2 linked regions of the Tamandua tetradactyla genome follow. The protein of the gene in region 2 binds, or shares a complex with, the protein of the main gene of each other region. Links are inferred from orthologs where the notes say so. Each region holds a gene or a part of one and is shown on either strand. Other genes may lie near its edges.

Region 1 (7,936 bases), about 75 Mb from region 2:
GAATCGTTATACAGATATTCCTTTTTGCTTTCTGGTATATTGGAGTAGACAGAGGGAAATTCCTGAAATCTCTTAATTATAATCCAGCTGTCATGGCATCTGAAATTATTGTAAAAGCCTTCACCTTGTGACTTCGTAACTCTAAAAGCTGTTACGCCCTTTATCTGGTCATTTAGTTATAAGGCAAAGGTCCTAATGCTAATGAAGAATTTGAAGTCAGCCATTAACTAGCTTCAGCTCCTGATATTTGTACATCCTATTAGCTAGATTCTGCTATTGAAAGATAACTTGTCTCCATTTCTTTTGGCTTACACTTTTTGTACTGAAGTCGTTAGCCTGCCTCCTTTCCTTTCAATTTATATTCTTCTATGGAAATATTGATAACATTGTCTCCTTTTCTGCTTTGAACTTGCTACTCGAAATGACCACATCTCCCCTTGCTAAAGTCCTTAAAAACCTTGAACCTCCCTAAACTTGGGTAGATAGATTTTGGGTCACCAGGCCATCTGTTCTCCTACTATATGCCCAGTAGAAACTCTTTTCTCTCTGAAACCCAGCTGTCTCAGGAACTGGTTATTGAGTGCGTCAGACAAGATAATCCACTGCCTTTCTCTGGTAACATGATGGCCAATGGATGCTTGAATCATGAGGTGAAAAAATGATGGCAAATTTATAATGACTGCATCATCAGTCTGACTGCAACTGAACCCAGTGCTCAATCCTAACACCAGAAAAAGACAAGCAGCCATCCTGATGTGATGGAATAGGAAGTACCACAACCAGGATGTATTTTCACTAGAAATTGAACCTAAGACTGAAGAGCCAAACATTAGACAGTTTACAGGGTTTTAAGAATATGTTAAATGACAGCACAAGAATACAGCCCACAAAATGGCCCAGTTTCTTCAAAAAATAAATTGCAAGAAAATAAAAAGAGGAAGAGGAAAACGTAAGATTAAACGAGATTTAAGACCATGCCTGGGAAAGAGATTCGATTTCTGGCCCATGTAACCCGGCTCCTGCCCCCACCCCATCCCACCCCCCAAAAAAGAGAGATTTAAGAGTCATATCAATCAAATGCAATGTCTGGACTTTACTTCGATCTTGATTTGAGCAAACTAACCGTAAAAAAAAAAAAAAAAAGGTATGAGTGAAATAAGACAGACACAAAACTAAAAATATTGCATGATCTCACACATGAAATAATTAGAATATGCAAATTAAGAGTCATGAACTAGAATACAGGTTACCAAAGGAAGGGGTAGGGAATGTGAAGTTAAGGTTTAATGGGTAGGAGGTTTCTATTTGGGGTGATAAAGAAGTTTTGGTTATGAATGGTGGCGATATTAACACACTATGAATATAATTACAATGCTGAATGGTGTCCTTGAAAGTGGCTAAAATGGGAAATTTTATATTGTATATATGTTATCACAACTTAAAGAAAAATCCATAGAACTATATACAACATAACAAGTGAAGCCTAAACTATGGAGATTAGTTAATAGTGTAATTATAATATTGGTTCATCAATTATAACAAAATTACCACACCAATGCAAAGTGTTAATAATAAGGAAAACCATTGGGGGGAATATATGGAAACTCTACTTTCTGCCTAATTTTTCTGTAAACCTACAACTGCTCTAAAAAATAAACAAAAACAAAAAATTATATATATATATGTGTGTGTGTGTGTGTGTGTGTATGAGACAGTAGGCCAGTATGGACTATTTGATGATATCTGGGATTTGCTTCAAAATAACTGAGTGGTGTGGAATAGATGAAATAAGGCTGGCCATGTGTTGACAATTTTTGGAGCAGGAGGATGGATTCAGAAGGGTTCATTACCTTATTCTCTTTATATAAACATATTATACTATACATGTTTGAAATTTTCCATTATAAAAAAGTTTTGTTTTGGGGTACATGGGCTGGGAATCAAAAAAAATTTTTTTAAGTTCTTGTATTTCCAGTTCATTGTTAGGACTTGTGGACTGTAGCCCTGGAGGGCTAACTGGAGGACACCTGGTTAACTAGCAGGCCCTTCTAAGGTTGCAGATTATCTTTAAAACTCACTTTTGTGAAAACGCTAGCGATGGCTTCATCTATCTAGGGTAGGCTTCTGTGAACCCAGGTCACAGAAAATGATGCATACCTACAATGTCCGTTTAGTATTTATTGATTTACAATAGGGAACGTGACTGTTCAATTCTGACTTTCTAATAGAGCCTCTAGGCAGGAAGCGTATTGTAAGCAAAACACCCCAAACTTCCAGCTGCTGGAGCCTAAAATCTTACAGTTACCCTTGACTGTTCTCTTTTCTCACCTGCCCAAAGCCCCCACATCCAAACTTTCTTATATTCTATACAGCTCTTGATTCCCTCTGTTTCTCCACTTTTTGCCTTCTCCCTAGTCCAAGCCCCATCATACTCCCTCCTGGACACTTCTACCGCATCCTCACTAGCCTTCTGCTTATAGTCTTACTCCCTTAAAGTCTATTCCCCACATTGCAAACAGAGACATCTGAAATACACATCCATTGATGCCCCTCTCCGTAGCTGCAAGGCGTGACATGAACTGGCTTTTGCCCTTGTCCACCTCTCCAACCCCACCCTTCTCTTCTCTTACCCTTCCATTACTAGCCTTCAGACATACTGGCTTCCTTTCTGTTCGCTGGGCTTGATCCATTCTGAAGATCTTTACACTTGCTGGTCCCTCAGTCTGAAAGGCTCCTTCCCCAGAGCTTTACATGGCTGACTCCTTTTCTTCATTCCCTTTGTTCCAGGGGACTTTGAAGATTTTGCAAATACCATATCCTGGACCTTTTGTCGCTTAGGCCTTACAACAGAGCTTCCAACATCTGTGAGGAGTCAATTTTGCAACTGTCACTGGGGAAGCTTGGCTCTGAAGGCCTGAACTTTCAGGAGAAAATGCATGTCAGTTACAGTGAAGGGAAGAAAAACGTCCTGACATCTTTTCTACGCTATTTGCACACTTGTGACGCTGTAATATCTGTGCTGGAGAATACAGGAACCACTTCTCATTGTGGGGTCATCAGGATCATTCATTTTAGGAGTCAAATAGCAAAGGGTTACCTCAAGGGAGACAAACAGTTGTGTTTACAGTACTTGATTTTTCCTGTTCACCCTGAGATGAGGGGAGGTTTGGAAATACTTGCAGAACTTAGAAATGGTAACAGTTAAGGAGAGAACCTCCCCTACAAACCTGTGAGTGGAGACCAGTGTAAGCAATATTTGATTTGTTACCTTGAGTAGAAAATAAAAGGACTTTGCTAAATATCTCCCTTTGTAAAACTAAGTGCTCAGAAAAATCTAAAAAATTTTCCATTTATGGGGATAAAAGCTAATTTAGTGCTGCTCACTAAAGAGGTAGTTTCTATGAAAATGCCATTACATAGCTTCAGTATATAGGAAAGCAACATTTAACGGCTCTCAAATCCGAGATATCATTCCTTCTTTTTTTATAAAGCAATTTAATGTCTCAATTATAATACTGTGTAAGACTCAAAAGGAAAACTTAAGAGGCTTACTGTTTTAATCTTTTCGTTTAAAAATAATTTGATTTACAGAAAAGTTGCAAAAAACAGTACAAAGAATTCCCATGCCTTCACCCAGAACACATTCGCTTTACCGTTTTTCTCTATATAGACAAACACATACACACACACACGCACATAAATATTTTCTAAACCATGTGAGAGACAGTTAAAAAAAAAAAAAAAGAAGCGCATTTATTAATTTGCGGGCCTGGAAGAGAGAAAGCATTTTGCCACACTTTTGGCCAAATTCCCTAAAATATTTGTTTAACATTATGTTTAAGAACAAAAGACCCACTTTCAAAGTGCATTTCCTTGGTCATATTATTCTAGTGTTTTCCTATTACCGTGTGTTTGCCGTCGATGTCCCTGATTAGAATATAAATGCACGAAAGTAGGAACATTTGTTCTCCAATGTACTCCTAGGGCCCGTACAATGCTTAGTACTTACTAGGCGGCCAATAAATATCTGTTGAATTAAGACATTAGAAAGGCCTTTTGGGCTTGTAGCCCAGAACAAGGCTTAAAGGCAGAAATGGGAATGGGGGTTCTGCTGGGAGGTGGGCAGGGACCTTGTGAGAAAACAGCACTCCGGGGAGGGCTTTCCCAAATCTGCAAGGATCCCCTAGAGGCCCAAACGTCAGTGAGGTCGCCGACAGTGAGCGGTCTTTGGACTGCCAGGGGAAGGAGGGGTGCCGGACACTCCGAGGAAATCGCGCGCTTAGTCTGCCTCCCTACCTCAGAGCCTCCTGAGGACGCAGGGCCGGTTCCATTCCCTTCCTCCACCCGCCTCTCCCCTCTCCAGGCCCTGCCATCCACTCTCTTATAGAAACACGCCTCTTATCCGTATCTTTCTTCAAGAGAGCTGGCTGTTTCTCGCACTCTGCAAATCTCTCCCTAAACCGAACAAGGTTGTTGGTGACTTGCCTCCGGAGGAATGGATCAGGCTTCCTCACGTGGGTGAAGTTTGAGGACTCGAGCGGCTCGAGACTTCCCTGCTCTCGCGAGATTTCCAGCGAGCAGGGCGGTGCGCCCGCTCACGCCGTTGCCAGGACAACTGGGCGGGGCCAGCGCCGGCGGGAGTAAAGAGGCCGAAGAGTTTTTGTCCGCTCGTGCGGGGCTTTTTTATTAGTGGCCAGCCCAGAGTTTCCAGCCTCAGAGACTACAGCCTCTGCTCGGGGCGGTACCCCTGTCCTCGGGCACCATGGGCCGGATCTCAGGGCTCGTGCCCTCTCGCTTCCTGACGCTCATGGCGCATATGGTGGTCGTCATTACTTTATTCTGGTCTCGGGTAAGACCCACCGCTGCTCCTCTCCCACCTTCCAGCCCCGCCCCGCCCGGTCCTGCCCCGCTCCGCCCCGCCCGGTCCTGCCCCGCCCCTTCCCAGGACTACCTGCTTGGGTGCTTCAACCCCCGAGCCGGTACCCTACTCCCCAGGCTGCTCCGCATCCCGCCTCTCTTTCATATTTCTCTTCCTCTCCATGGCGGTTCCCCAGGACAGCAACATCCAGGCCTGCCTGCCTCTCAAGTTCACCCCCGAGGAGTATGAGAATCAGGACATTCAGTGAGCTCTTGGGGCGGGTGATCAAAATGAAGCGGTGGTGGAAGTGGAGGGGTCTTAGAAGTCCAGAAGTCCTGAGTCAACCCCCTTCCTCTCTGCAGGCTGGTGGCAGCGCTCTCTGTCACCCTGGGCCTCTTTGCAGTGGAGCTGGCCGGCTTTTTCTCAGGAGTTTCCATGTTCAACAACACCCAGAGCCTCATCTGTATCCTTTCTGCCTGTACACCTTACCTACACTGCCCATTCCATCACGACCCCTCTAACCAGGCTTTACTAGCACAGAGGGCTGCCTGGCAGGCAAACAGAATTTCTCCAGTTGACAGATCTTAGGCAATGTGGGGCATTTAATACAATCTGCAAACATTTGTTAAGCCTCTTCTATATACAAGGCACTAGAGAACCAGAATGAGAGTAAAACACAGTTTTCTACTGTGAGGAGGAAGCAGACACAAAAACATCTCTAATTCCGTGGGATAGCACTGTGCTGTGGGAGTGCATAAAGATATAAAAAGCACTATGGGAACTCAGAAGAGAGAGAGGAAGTGCAGAACATGGTTCAAAGAAGGCTCCTGATAGCTGAATTGTGGGCCTGGAGGAGCAGGGTGGTGGAGTATGTTTCAAGTAGAGTGTATCAAGGGGCTGTGAGCATTTCTGTCTGTGGTCTGGGGGTGTGTGGGGTACTTTCTGAAGGCCAGGCTGTCCCCTAGATATGTGTTGGGATACCCTGGAGTCCCAGCTGTGCAGGCTTACCTCTGGCTTCTACTCACCTGGCTGTCTTAAAACTCAGGAGACAGGGCTGCTGTCTCTGGCCCTTGTAGAGTGGTGGGAGCAAGAGATTAACTTGAGAGCAGGTGCTAGCCGCCGCTACCTCCACCCCAGGCCTTTTCTAGTCCATCACTACCTGTCCATCCATCCAAAGGTTTTCCTTGACTTTGGTGTGTTCCCAAGCCATCGGGGCACACTGTAGTGCATCCGTGGCCCTGTCCTTCTTCATATTCGAGCGTTGGGAGTGCACAACGTACTGGTACATTTTTGTCTTCTGCAGGTGCGATAGCACCCAGTATTTGGGGATGTGGGAGGAAGGTTTTCCCTGTGCAGCCAATTCCCCCTGGTGTCAGACACCAGATCCACTCAACATCCTGTGGTCTTTTGAAGTCTCTTCACCCCCCACTCCTTACACTTTGGGTGGAGTCTCTGGTTTGGGATTTTGGGTATTTTTATTGGAAGGGATCCTGAATCCACCGCCAATTGCTCCCTCCTTCTCCCCCCGCCCCACCCCAGCGCCGTTCCAGCCGTATCTGAAATGGCATTATTCGTCGCTGTCTTTGGGCTGAAAAAGAAGCCTTTCTGATCACCTCCATGACGAGAATGTTGGAACGAAGGCTGGAGGAGCAAGGGGCCGTACACGGGTCGTGAAAGAAGACGACGTAGGCTTCTCACTCTGAAACTGCACCTGGTGGAAGATGTGTATTGTGGTAATTAGCTCCCTATTCTAGGATTATTAGCGTTTTATTTCGTGCTTTATAATAAAAGATATTTTATAATAAGATCAAGACATGATAAAAATTTCAGAAGAGAATGAGGATGGTCAAATTACTGGAGAAAAGCAATTTTTTCTAGAATTACCGTTTTATTTTAGTTATTACGGTAGACATTTGGCGGGAGGGGATGGGTGGAGCTATGTAAATAAGGGAGCGGTCGGCCGCCCAGCGGTGAAAGGAGCAGTATGGGAGGAATTGGTGTATCCCTTTTCTGTGAGCCGGCAGTATGAGAACAATGTAAAAGAAAAGTAGCAGTAGAAATGTAAATTTCATGTAAGTTCCTAAACACCTTTAGGTTGACTAGGCTTAGACGTTATATACACACCCTCTGTAAAAGCGGAATCTTTTAAACAGTGCAGCGTGGTAGGAGGTTTTTGTTTTATCGTTAGGAGGGTTAATCCTGACCTGTTCCTCTTTCGGGAGGGCAGATTGGATATGTGATGATTGGAGTTGGCATGATACGTGATTAGCGTTCTGCGTAATCAGGGCTTGCAACACCCTGGTTGCTCCTATCTGATACCCCTAACGATCGCTTGTGGGTTTTTTTGTTTCGTTTTAGTTAGTTTGCGGTACGTCTTTGTTTTTTTTTTCAATTTGGAGTGAGTTATCATAGTATGGTTAGTGGGGGTTTGATTTGGACTTGTTTGTTCGTTCTGTTATGTCGTGCAGGAGGCGATGTAGTTTTATGTGCGACTTGTTTGTTACTTGTGGGTGACTCTGGTTATACGGAAACGTATAGATTCTTCTCCGATATTATTCGGTGTCTGTTGTCTTTTACAATCTTAAATGAGTAGTGGGTCAAGATGCCCACTTCTGATTTCCTGTAAAATGGTGGTGTCGTCGGTGTCGCATAAGGCTGTCGAAGTCTTTCTTGTCACCACGGTAGGAGGGCAATTTGCACGGAGTGGGAAGCCATTCATGGTCATGGTCGTAGCATTTAGTGTAAACTCCACTTCCATTCCTGCATAATAAGAACATGGAAAGAACATGTTCAAATGAAAGTTAATGAAACATAGTAGGTGTTATGCAGACAAATTACAACAAGATGTATAAAGTTCCACCATTTCACAGAAGCAATGCTGTCAGAGTCCAACCCTGATAATGGTAGAGCCCAGGTGACTCCAAAGAAACAAAGGGCAGCCAAGGAGTTGCTTCCTTACCATGCTCCTCAGGTGAGGGCCCCTGGTGCCTCACATATTTTTTTCTTTTGGTTTTCATCCCTTGCCCTGCAGCCTTTAATCCTTCATTCAATAAAGACTTAACAAGTTCTTGTTATAGG
Region 2 (8,496 bases):
TGGAGAATTCTTGATATTCTCACAGGCAGTGTGGACAGCCAAAGCAATAGGCCGAGCCTCCAATCTTGGGGCTTGTTCATATGAAACTTAATCCCACAAAGGATAGGCTAAACTTACTTAAAATTAGGCCCAAGAGTCACCCCCAAGAGAGCCTCATCTGTTATTCAGATGTGGCCTCTCTCTCTTGGCTGACACGGCAAGCAAACTCACTGCCCTCCCCCTCTCTACGTGGGACATGAGTCTCAGGGGTGTGGACCTTCCTGGCAACGTGGGACAGAAATCCTAGAATGAGCTGGAACTCAGCATCAAGGGATTGAGAAAATCTTCTCCACCAAATGAGGGAAGAGTGAAAAGAGACAAAATAAAGTGTCAGTGGCTGAGAGATTCCAAACAGAGTCGAGAGGTTATCCTGGAGGTTATTCTTAAGCATCAAATAGATATCACCTGTTTAGTTAAGGTGAAATGGAGAGACTGGAGGGAACATCCTGGAAATGTGGAGCTGTGCTCTGGTGGCCATGTTTCTTGAAGATAATTGTATGATGATATGGCTGTCGCAGTGTGACTGTGGTTGTGAGAGCCTTGTGTCTGATGCTCCTTTTGTCTACCTTATTGACGGACAAGTAAAACACATGGATTAAAAATAAATAAATAATAAGGGGAAAAATGTTAAAATAAATTTAGTAGATTGAAATGCTGGTGATCGGTGAAGGGGAGGGGTAAAGGGTATGGTATGTATGAATATTTTTTTGTTTTCTTTTTATTGCTTTTTCTGAATTGATGCAGATGTTCTAAAAATGATCATAATGATGAATATACAACTATGTGAAGATAGTGTGAGTTATTGACTATATAACAAGAACAGAATGATCATATGATAAGAATGCTTGTCTTTGTATGTGGTTATGGATCATAAATAAAAAATAAATAAATTTTTAAAAAAAGACATTAGTTCCTTTCCTTCCAAGCAAAAAAAAAAGACCGAGGCCACTGGAACCAATACTGCATGGGTTCAAGTCCAGAAACATACTCCTTAGGTTATAATTTTAGTGCTGCTACTTAATTTCTTTGTGCCTCAGCTGCTTCTTTGGCAAAATGGGGTAGTATTAGTACCTACCTCAAAGGGTCAGAATGAGTATTAAACTAGTTATTAGATGTAAAGGGTTTTAACAGGGTTGAGCACACAGTGGGTATTATGTTTGCTACCAATTTAAGCACCAGCATAATTAAACTATAAATAAGATTATTGATAAACTTCTGTGGGTAACTTTACATTTCCATGTCACCCATCCATATACATAGATTGAATGAATTACCTTGATTCAAAAAATTCACGGAATCACTGTTTCCCTCAACTTGGATACATAGTGAACATTATAAACACTACTCAACTTGCTGAATAGGTAGGTGTAGCATCCTATAAGGGCAGTAAGTGAAAACAGCACCCATAGGAGTCTCTGTAGTACAATGCATGCAATATCTGGATTTGTAATTATAAGCTAATGCCTTACACCTTTAGAGTCTCTTCAATGTTTTCTCATTCACACTTCCTTACTTGAGTGTCCTGACCTGTCTTGTTCAATAATCCAAGTGAAAATATATCAAATTTGAAGATGACAGAAGTACCATCTTAGTACCATGGTGTGCTTGTTTTAAAGTGTGTACCCCAGAAAAGCCATGTCCTTTAATCCTGATTCAATATTGTAAACCTTTGGTTAGATTGTTACCATGAAGACTGACCCCCTCAATTGTGGGTGTGGCCTTTTGATTGGATGGAGATGTGACTCTGCCCTTTCAAGGTGGGTGTTGATTAATTTACAACAGTCCCTTAAAAGGGGAAACATTTTAGAGAAAGCTCAGATGCTGAGCTTGGACAACAGCTGCTTCAGAGACAACACAGTTATGTGAGAGCCAACATGAGACCCAGATGTTTGGAGATACGGAAAGAAAATGCCACCTGGGGAAGCTGTTTGAAACCAGAAGCCAGAGAGCCCAACAGATCCAACCACATTCCTTCCCAGCCTACAGAGGTGTTTTGGACCCATCCACCCTTCTTGAGGCAAGGTATATTTCTCAAGACACCTTAGTTTGTACATTTTCATGGCCTTGGAATTGTAGACTTGTAAGTTAATAAATTCCCTTTATAAAAGCTGTTCAATTTCTGTTATATTTTATTCTAGCAGCTTTAGCAAACCAATACACATGGATAACCAAATCAAGATAAAATATTTGAGAATTTAGAATATGGGAGATTTATGGAACAGTGTCCATGAGGCAAACTAAGACAAATGATGGAAGTAAGGAGACAAAAAATGAATTAGCTTAATCTAAAGAAATATTAAAGAGCAACTAGTATTACTCAACAATACAAAGGGCTAAGTCCTAATGAAATTTAAATTAAGGACACACTGTATGGTGGAAATATGTAGTTTCAGACTGAGGACAAATAGACACGAGTTCTTCACTTCTTCAATTTAGGTTGCAAAGAAGATATTACAACCTCTTCAGAAGATCTTCAATTTACTTATCTGTAAAACGGGGAAACTGGATCTGATCATAGTCACAATCCCTCCCAGCCCTAAATTCTGGGATTTGAAAAGTAAGATAAACGGCAGTCAAAGATTACAATTGCAAAATGTGTATCTCCTGTCAAACCTTCTTGTCATCTACTCCTCTGCGTCTCACCTTCTCTATTCTTTTTTTCTCTCTCGGCTGCTTTCCAGGTGCTATCTAAAGACCTCCGGATGAGGGGAGAGGCATTAGTGCCGAAAATTGAAGAACCAGAACTGTTCCCGGGGTAGCGGACTCCGGGTTCCCCAAATTCATTAGCAATCCTCCAAGGAAACAGTCCCCTCAGTCGTCGGCGGTTAACTTTTCTGATATATTCTTCCCGCCGATTAAAAAAATAGGCGTTTCAGCGACGCCGGGATTAAGGACAGCACCAAGGAGGAAGGGTTACTTTTGCCGGAACTCATCCCAAAAGGTCTCACCTCGGACGTCCCGCCTCTGATTGGCTCCACACGGGACACAGGAAAGCGCGGAGATATCGAAGTACTGATTGTGGCCGCAAGTATCCGGCTGCCGGAAGGGGAAAGAGAAGGTCTGGGCTTGCAAGACGCGCGGAAGGACCAAAAGGAGAAACGCAGTCACAGTGGGCGAAGACAAAGCGGACCAAACCGCCATTGCCAACCCAGCCCCACAGCCGCCCGTCGCCATGGTGCCGATACCTGAAGCAGTCTACCCCTCTGCACCCCATCGGTCTCTGCGACGAATCCGCGATGCTGATTGGACAACTTCCCCGTCACACCTCCCCCATCCCCGCCTCGCATTTTGGATTCGTTTCGGAGCCTGGTTGCTAGGTTACCAAACATAGCCGGCGGGTGTGGAAAACCTTGGGTTAAAATCAGACTCCCCCTAGAGCCTGAAGGGCTCGCAAGTCTTATAATAAAGTATGTTGTTTCAAACTCTGAGAAGCGACTCATTCGATTTAGGGGGTCGGAAATAGAACGAGAATGATAATATCTGATTGCATTACATAAATTAAGGGGAAGTATTGTTTTCCGATAATGTTGTTAAATATTTCCATCAGAATGTATCCACACTAAGCAAATTTCACGTCAAAGAAGATATTCCAACGTGTATTTGGTTCTGTGGATAACATTTTAAAAGTATGCAATGTTGGAGCATTGCTATGGCTCAAGCACTAAGAAAAAATCTTTCCTGCCAGACGTTTTTCTACTTCCCTTGTTTGAAGAATAGGAAACCATGTAAATAAAATAAGATCATCTTTTTTACACCACTTGTTAATAAATAAAGGAGAAACCTATTTAAAAAAAATCAAATGTACACATATATGAATGTTGTCTTTCAAAGCAGTCATCCTTGGAGGCTGTTAACCTCAAAACATTTTGGAATTACTTTCAGAGCCAATTTATGGATAGCAAAAGAAAAACTAATCTCCTTATATTTAAATCTCATTTTTGTTTTTGTTGCTTCTAATTTGACAGTTATATTTTGTCTCTCTCCTCCAATCAAATCACCTGGCATATTTTTAAGCTGCTTCATCTATCAATAGTACCTAGAAATGACTTTGGGCTTAAAAAACAATTTCATAATAATAAAAATGATGATTTGTCACTAGTTAAGGATTCTTAGTTCATGTGGAAAATACATCTAGGAAAGTTAATAACTTTAATCATTAACCACCATTAGGCCTACTTTTCCTCAATGTGGCCTTTCCCAAAAGACCAGCATTCACCCACTCACTAATCCCTATGACATAGCAGGCATGTGTTTTGAAAAGCTGTTTCTAAAGAAGTCTAAATATATTTTTGAGTAATTACTGGGTTATTTGAAGTGTCTAATTTGAAGTGGAAATCAGTTATCTGAATACAACTTAAAAAATATTTGGCCATGTAAATATTAATGGGGACTCAGGTAGGGTATGGTCAAAATAGTTGGGATTAATTTGCAAACGTTTGCTATGGGTGGGTTTCAAATCTAGTCTTCCTTGATGAAGTATATATTCTTATATGCTTTGTGGAAGTGATTAGGGCACTAATATTTACTCCTTGTCTTCTGTATAATTAAAGCCATAGAAGAGCTCCTCCATTTATTAAAATGGAGGTTGGGATTAACCCTGCATAGGGTGTGCAAGGGATAACAGGGGAAGAGATATTGTAGATTTGGGAGTGTGGGTGAGGAGGAAAGGACTTTAATAAGAAACCAAAACAAGCAGAGGGAGCCAAAGTACAAACTGCCCATACCTCATGGGGGGACCACCCTGATCCTGATGTGTGTCCCCTCACCGCCCTTCAGGCCCCCAGCGGAGCCCAAGGCCTGGAGCTTCCATCTCAGGTTCCTCCTCAGCTGGGGCAGGTCTTTCTGTGACTCTAGTTCCTCAAAGGCCAGCAGCAGAAGCTGGTAGCCCATTAGACCCAGGTGCCATTCCCTCAGAGGCAGGAGCCCAACAGCACCCTGCATCTCAGCAGAAAGGCCAGCGTCCCACAGCATCAGCATCACCCTTTGTGTAGGATCTCAAGTCATGGGCTTAGAGGCAGCCTGGCCCTGAGGAGGTATAAGAGAGCAGGCACACAGGAGGAAAACATGTACCTGTATGTCCCTGAGGTGCAGAATATATATGGGCTGTGACAGGAGATGAGGTTGGAAAGGTAGGCAGGAATGAAAATGAAAGCTCTTGAATGCCTATATTTGCCTACTGTGGTTTGAAGCTTGTTAAAACTTTAAGCTAAGGAATAACCTGATCAGATTTGCAATTTAGAAAATGTAATCCTGAGACAAAGTACATAGAAAACTCTAGAGTTACAGACCAATTGGACTGCTAAAGCAGAAATCCAGAATCTAAATTAGGGCAATGAAAGAAGAGAGAGGTAGGAGAGGATGAATGAAAGAGCTATTGAAGTGGAAGAATCATGAGAACTTTATAGCTTGGATATAGGAAATAAAGAAACAGAAATAGTCCAGCATAACTCCCAAGCTTCTGATTTAGTTGGCTTTGTTGATGGTTGTGAAACTAAGGGAAGATAGAAGATGCCTGGGGTAGATCAATGTTTCTTGAGAAAACATTATTTGAATAGATTACAGAAAAAATAAAAACAGGTTGCAACTAAAGATATGAGAATTATTTAAAATGTTAGTTGTAGCAGGAACCATGATGATAACGAAAATAAATGATAGTAATTGCTGGTTTTCTATGACCCAGGCAGTGTAATATCTCATTTGATCCTAAATTGTGATTAGCTAAATCACAGTTGCCAGATTCGGCTTCCTAGGTTCTTGGCCATGCCGCAAGAAACAATTCAAGGGCACAGCCCAAAGAGTTAAGCAGGCAGAAAATTGAGTACATGCAGGCAAGGAGAATGCAGACACTTTTACAAAAAAAGAGGGGTGAGAGGCGAGAGGCCCCCACAATGTGAGGCAATCTACTTTTATAGGTTAGCTTTACTTACTCCCCCTTCCCCTTCTTTGTTTAGGCCTCTTTCTCCTACCCTCCCTTCTCTCCAGGGTGGTGCATTTGGGTGGTTGACTCCACCCTTCTCTGTAAATGACTTACTCAGGTAGAGGTCATATGGCTCCAGGTGCTACTTATTGCTGTTCTTCTCAGAGATATCTTCCACCTTGAAGCCTGACTGCTTTTTAGAGTTTTCCCTGTGCTTAGCCAGTTACCACCCTAATTCTAACCCTACCTCATTTCCCCCTCAGAGGTTTCCTAGCTCCCTTAAGAGAATTTGGGCCAATGGTCCATCTTTTATAGCTGCTTCAAGCTGTCAGTGGGGTTACAGGCCCTACTTGTGTTAGCATAAAAGTCTCTGGCTATGCTATTGAGAGTGGCTGGTTGAGTGTGGGGAACAGGCATGCAGCCTCTGGTGAGGAAAACTTTGTTGTGAAAGGCTTTTAATATGGAAGAAACAAACTGGGTGAGAAATTGTATACATGGTCTGAACAGAAGCAGGAGCAAGATGGAGCTCAGAGTATTTAGAGTTTTTAGGAAAATTATTGATTGGGGCTTGTCCTAATGTGGCAGTTTGCAATTTCTGGCTGAAATTTGTATAATAAAAATGTCTAGAATGACTTCTCATCTCTATTTGAAATTTCTTAGCCCCTGGAATTTCATTTTTCTTTTTTTGGTCAATTAATTCTATAACACAGGGTCAGACTTTCTTTAGAAGTGTTGCCTCATGTTACTAGGAAGACTTACACCCCTGGAAGTCATGTGCCATGTAAGGGAGAAGGTAGTGAGTTTATTTGCAGAATTTGGCTTAAAGAGAGATACTACATCTGAGCAATAAAAGAGGATCTCTGGGGATGAGTTATAGGCATTAGTTATAAGAAGGCTTAACTTTGCTATTATAGAAATAAATCAAATAAGGGAAAGCCTCAAGATCAAGGGCTTGGCTTATTAAATACAGGTCCCTTATTGCATAGGAGAATAGCAAGAATTCCCTAAGTGGGGAAGTTAAATAGCTTCACATTTTTCTCTAGTCCTTTAAGGGACTTTGCAAATATTTTTTTTAATTTTATGATTAAGATTTTATTCTTTATTCTAGGTTCCATGTTGAATAAAGCTGAATTAAGTTGTTTTTAATGATCTATAAATTTTCCTATCATGCAAATCAGTATCAGGATAAAACATGGACAGTGAGAACATTGTTAAGTTTTTAGGAATCTTATAAAATTGTAAATATATGAATAACATTTAACTTACATAAATTTACTTAACAAAAGGATAGAAAATCTCTCTTAGTTATTATATTTAATATGATTTTAACCCCTCAGTTTCACAAGGTGAAACAACAAATCTTTTGCAACAGTTCTTTTAAAAGTAAGAAAACTTATCTTTTGAAATAAAGGATGATAAGGTTAGTATAAACATATAGATAGAATATTCAGATGGTTAAGGGAGCAGCATTAATTATGACAAGACATATTTTTAAAAGCCCTCTATAACTCTTTATACATAGGGCTTATAGTCAGCAGTGATTATAAACAAAACCTACTTTCTTAAATTTTCATTTTGAGAAAATTTTTACAACTTTCTACATCCATCCAGGGTTTGTAGTCAGCAATGACGACAAAATTCACTTGCTTAAACCTTCTGCATCTTTCCATATCCATCCAGGACTGATAGCAATGCCCTACGACAAACAAAATATACTTTCACAAACTTTCTATAACTTTCTATATCCATCTAGGGCTTGTAGTCAGAACTAACTTCAAATAAGATCCACTTTCATGCTAGGAATATGTCAGACTGTGCTTTGAGGCAACTGGAGGTTAGTAAGGTCTGCTGCTAAACCATCCTTAAAGATATGGGGTCTATTTTGAAACCCATGGGGTAGCATTGCCTAAGTGAGTAGGGCAGAAATCTTATTCTTATGTCCTTGGCATTCAACAGCAAGTAGGTATTGAGATCCAGGGTGAAGAGGAATACAAAAAAGGCATTTGTAAGATCTAGGACTGGAAATTTGAATGCAGAGAGTGGCTACTCATGGGCTAGTCCTGGGATGCCTTCATCCCATACAGACAGGTTTATTTGCTTCAGGATCTCTTTTGGGTTGTTAGGAGGCCTTGATCTAGTAGGGACCTCAGGGCAAACAAGAGGTAAACACTTGCTGGGTTTGCTAGTCTTAAAGTGGTCTCCAGGGGGTGAAGAAGATCCTTTCCTAGAAGGGAGGGTGGGGCATTCAGGGACAATGAGAAATTGATGGGACACTAGAATGTCTTCAAACTTATAAAGGAGAGGGATAGTGAAGGTTTTAGTTTTGGCATTACTGTTAGCTCTCATAACTAGGTAAGTCCTAGTGGAGGTAGCTCCAGAGAGGCAGTTCAGAACACAGTAAGTGACTCTATTATTTAATCAAGAAATTAATAACCTTACCTGCCCCGTCAAGTGTCACCAGAAACACCTCTAGGTTGATGGTCAGATGTGAAGTCAGTAGAGCCATAAGCAGCCTCCAACAGGCTCAGTCTTCTTCACTT

Evidence for each region. The genes of interacting proteins can lie anywhere in the genome.
Region 1: TMEM67 (region 2) and TMEM107 share a complex: the UniProt entries of both Homo sapiens proteins name them as parts of the tectonic-like complex. The link is inferred for Tamandua tetradactyla from reciprocal best matches to the Homo sapiens genes TMEM67 and TMEM107.

What each region holds. Positions count from the first base shown.
Region 1 is NC_135332.1:62,012,324-62,020,259, reverse strand, and holds TMEM107 (transmembrane protein 107), read left to right. Parts: upstream 1-4,582; 5' UTR 4,583-4,762; coding exon 4,763-4,849; intron 4,850-5,054; coding exon 5,055-5,122; intron 5,123-5,220; coding exon 5,221-5,321; intron 5,322-6,064; coding exon 6,065-6,161; intron 6,162-6,397; coding exon 6,398-6,467; 3' UTR 6,468-7,195; downstream 7,196-7,936. UniProt on the Homo sapiens protein: Plays a role in cilia formation and embryonic patterning. Requires for normal Sonic hedgehog (Shh) signaling in the neural tube and acts in combination with GLI2 and GLI3 to pattern ventral and intermediate neuronal cell types.
Region 2 is NC_135332.1:137,076,073-137,084,568, reverse strand, and holds the start of TMEM67 (meckelin), read right to left. Parts: upstream 3,259-8,496; 5' UTR 3,214-3,258; coding exon 2,988-3,213; intron 1-2,987. UniProt on the Homo sapiens protein: Required for ciliary structure and function. Part of the tectonic-like complex which is required for tissue-specific ciliogenesis and may regulate ciliary membrane composition.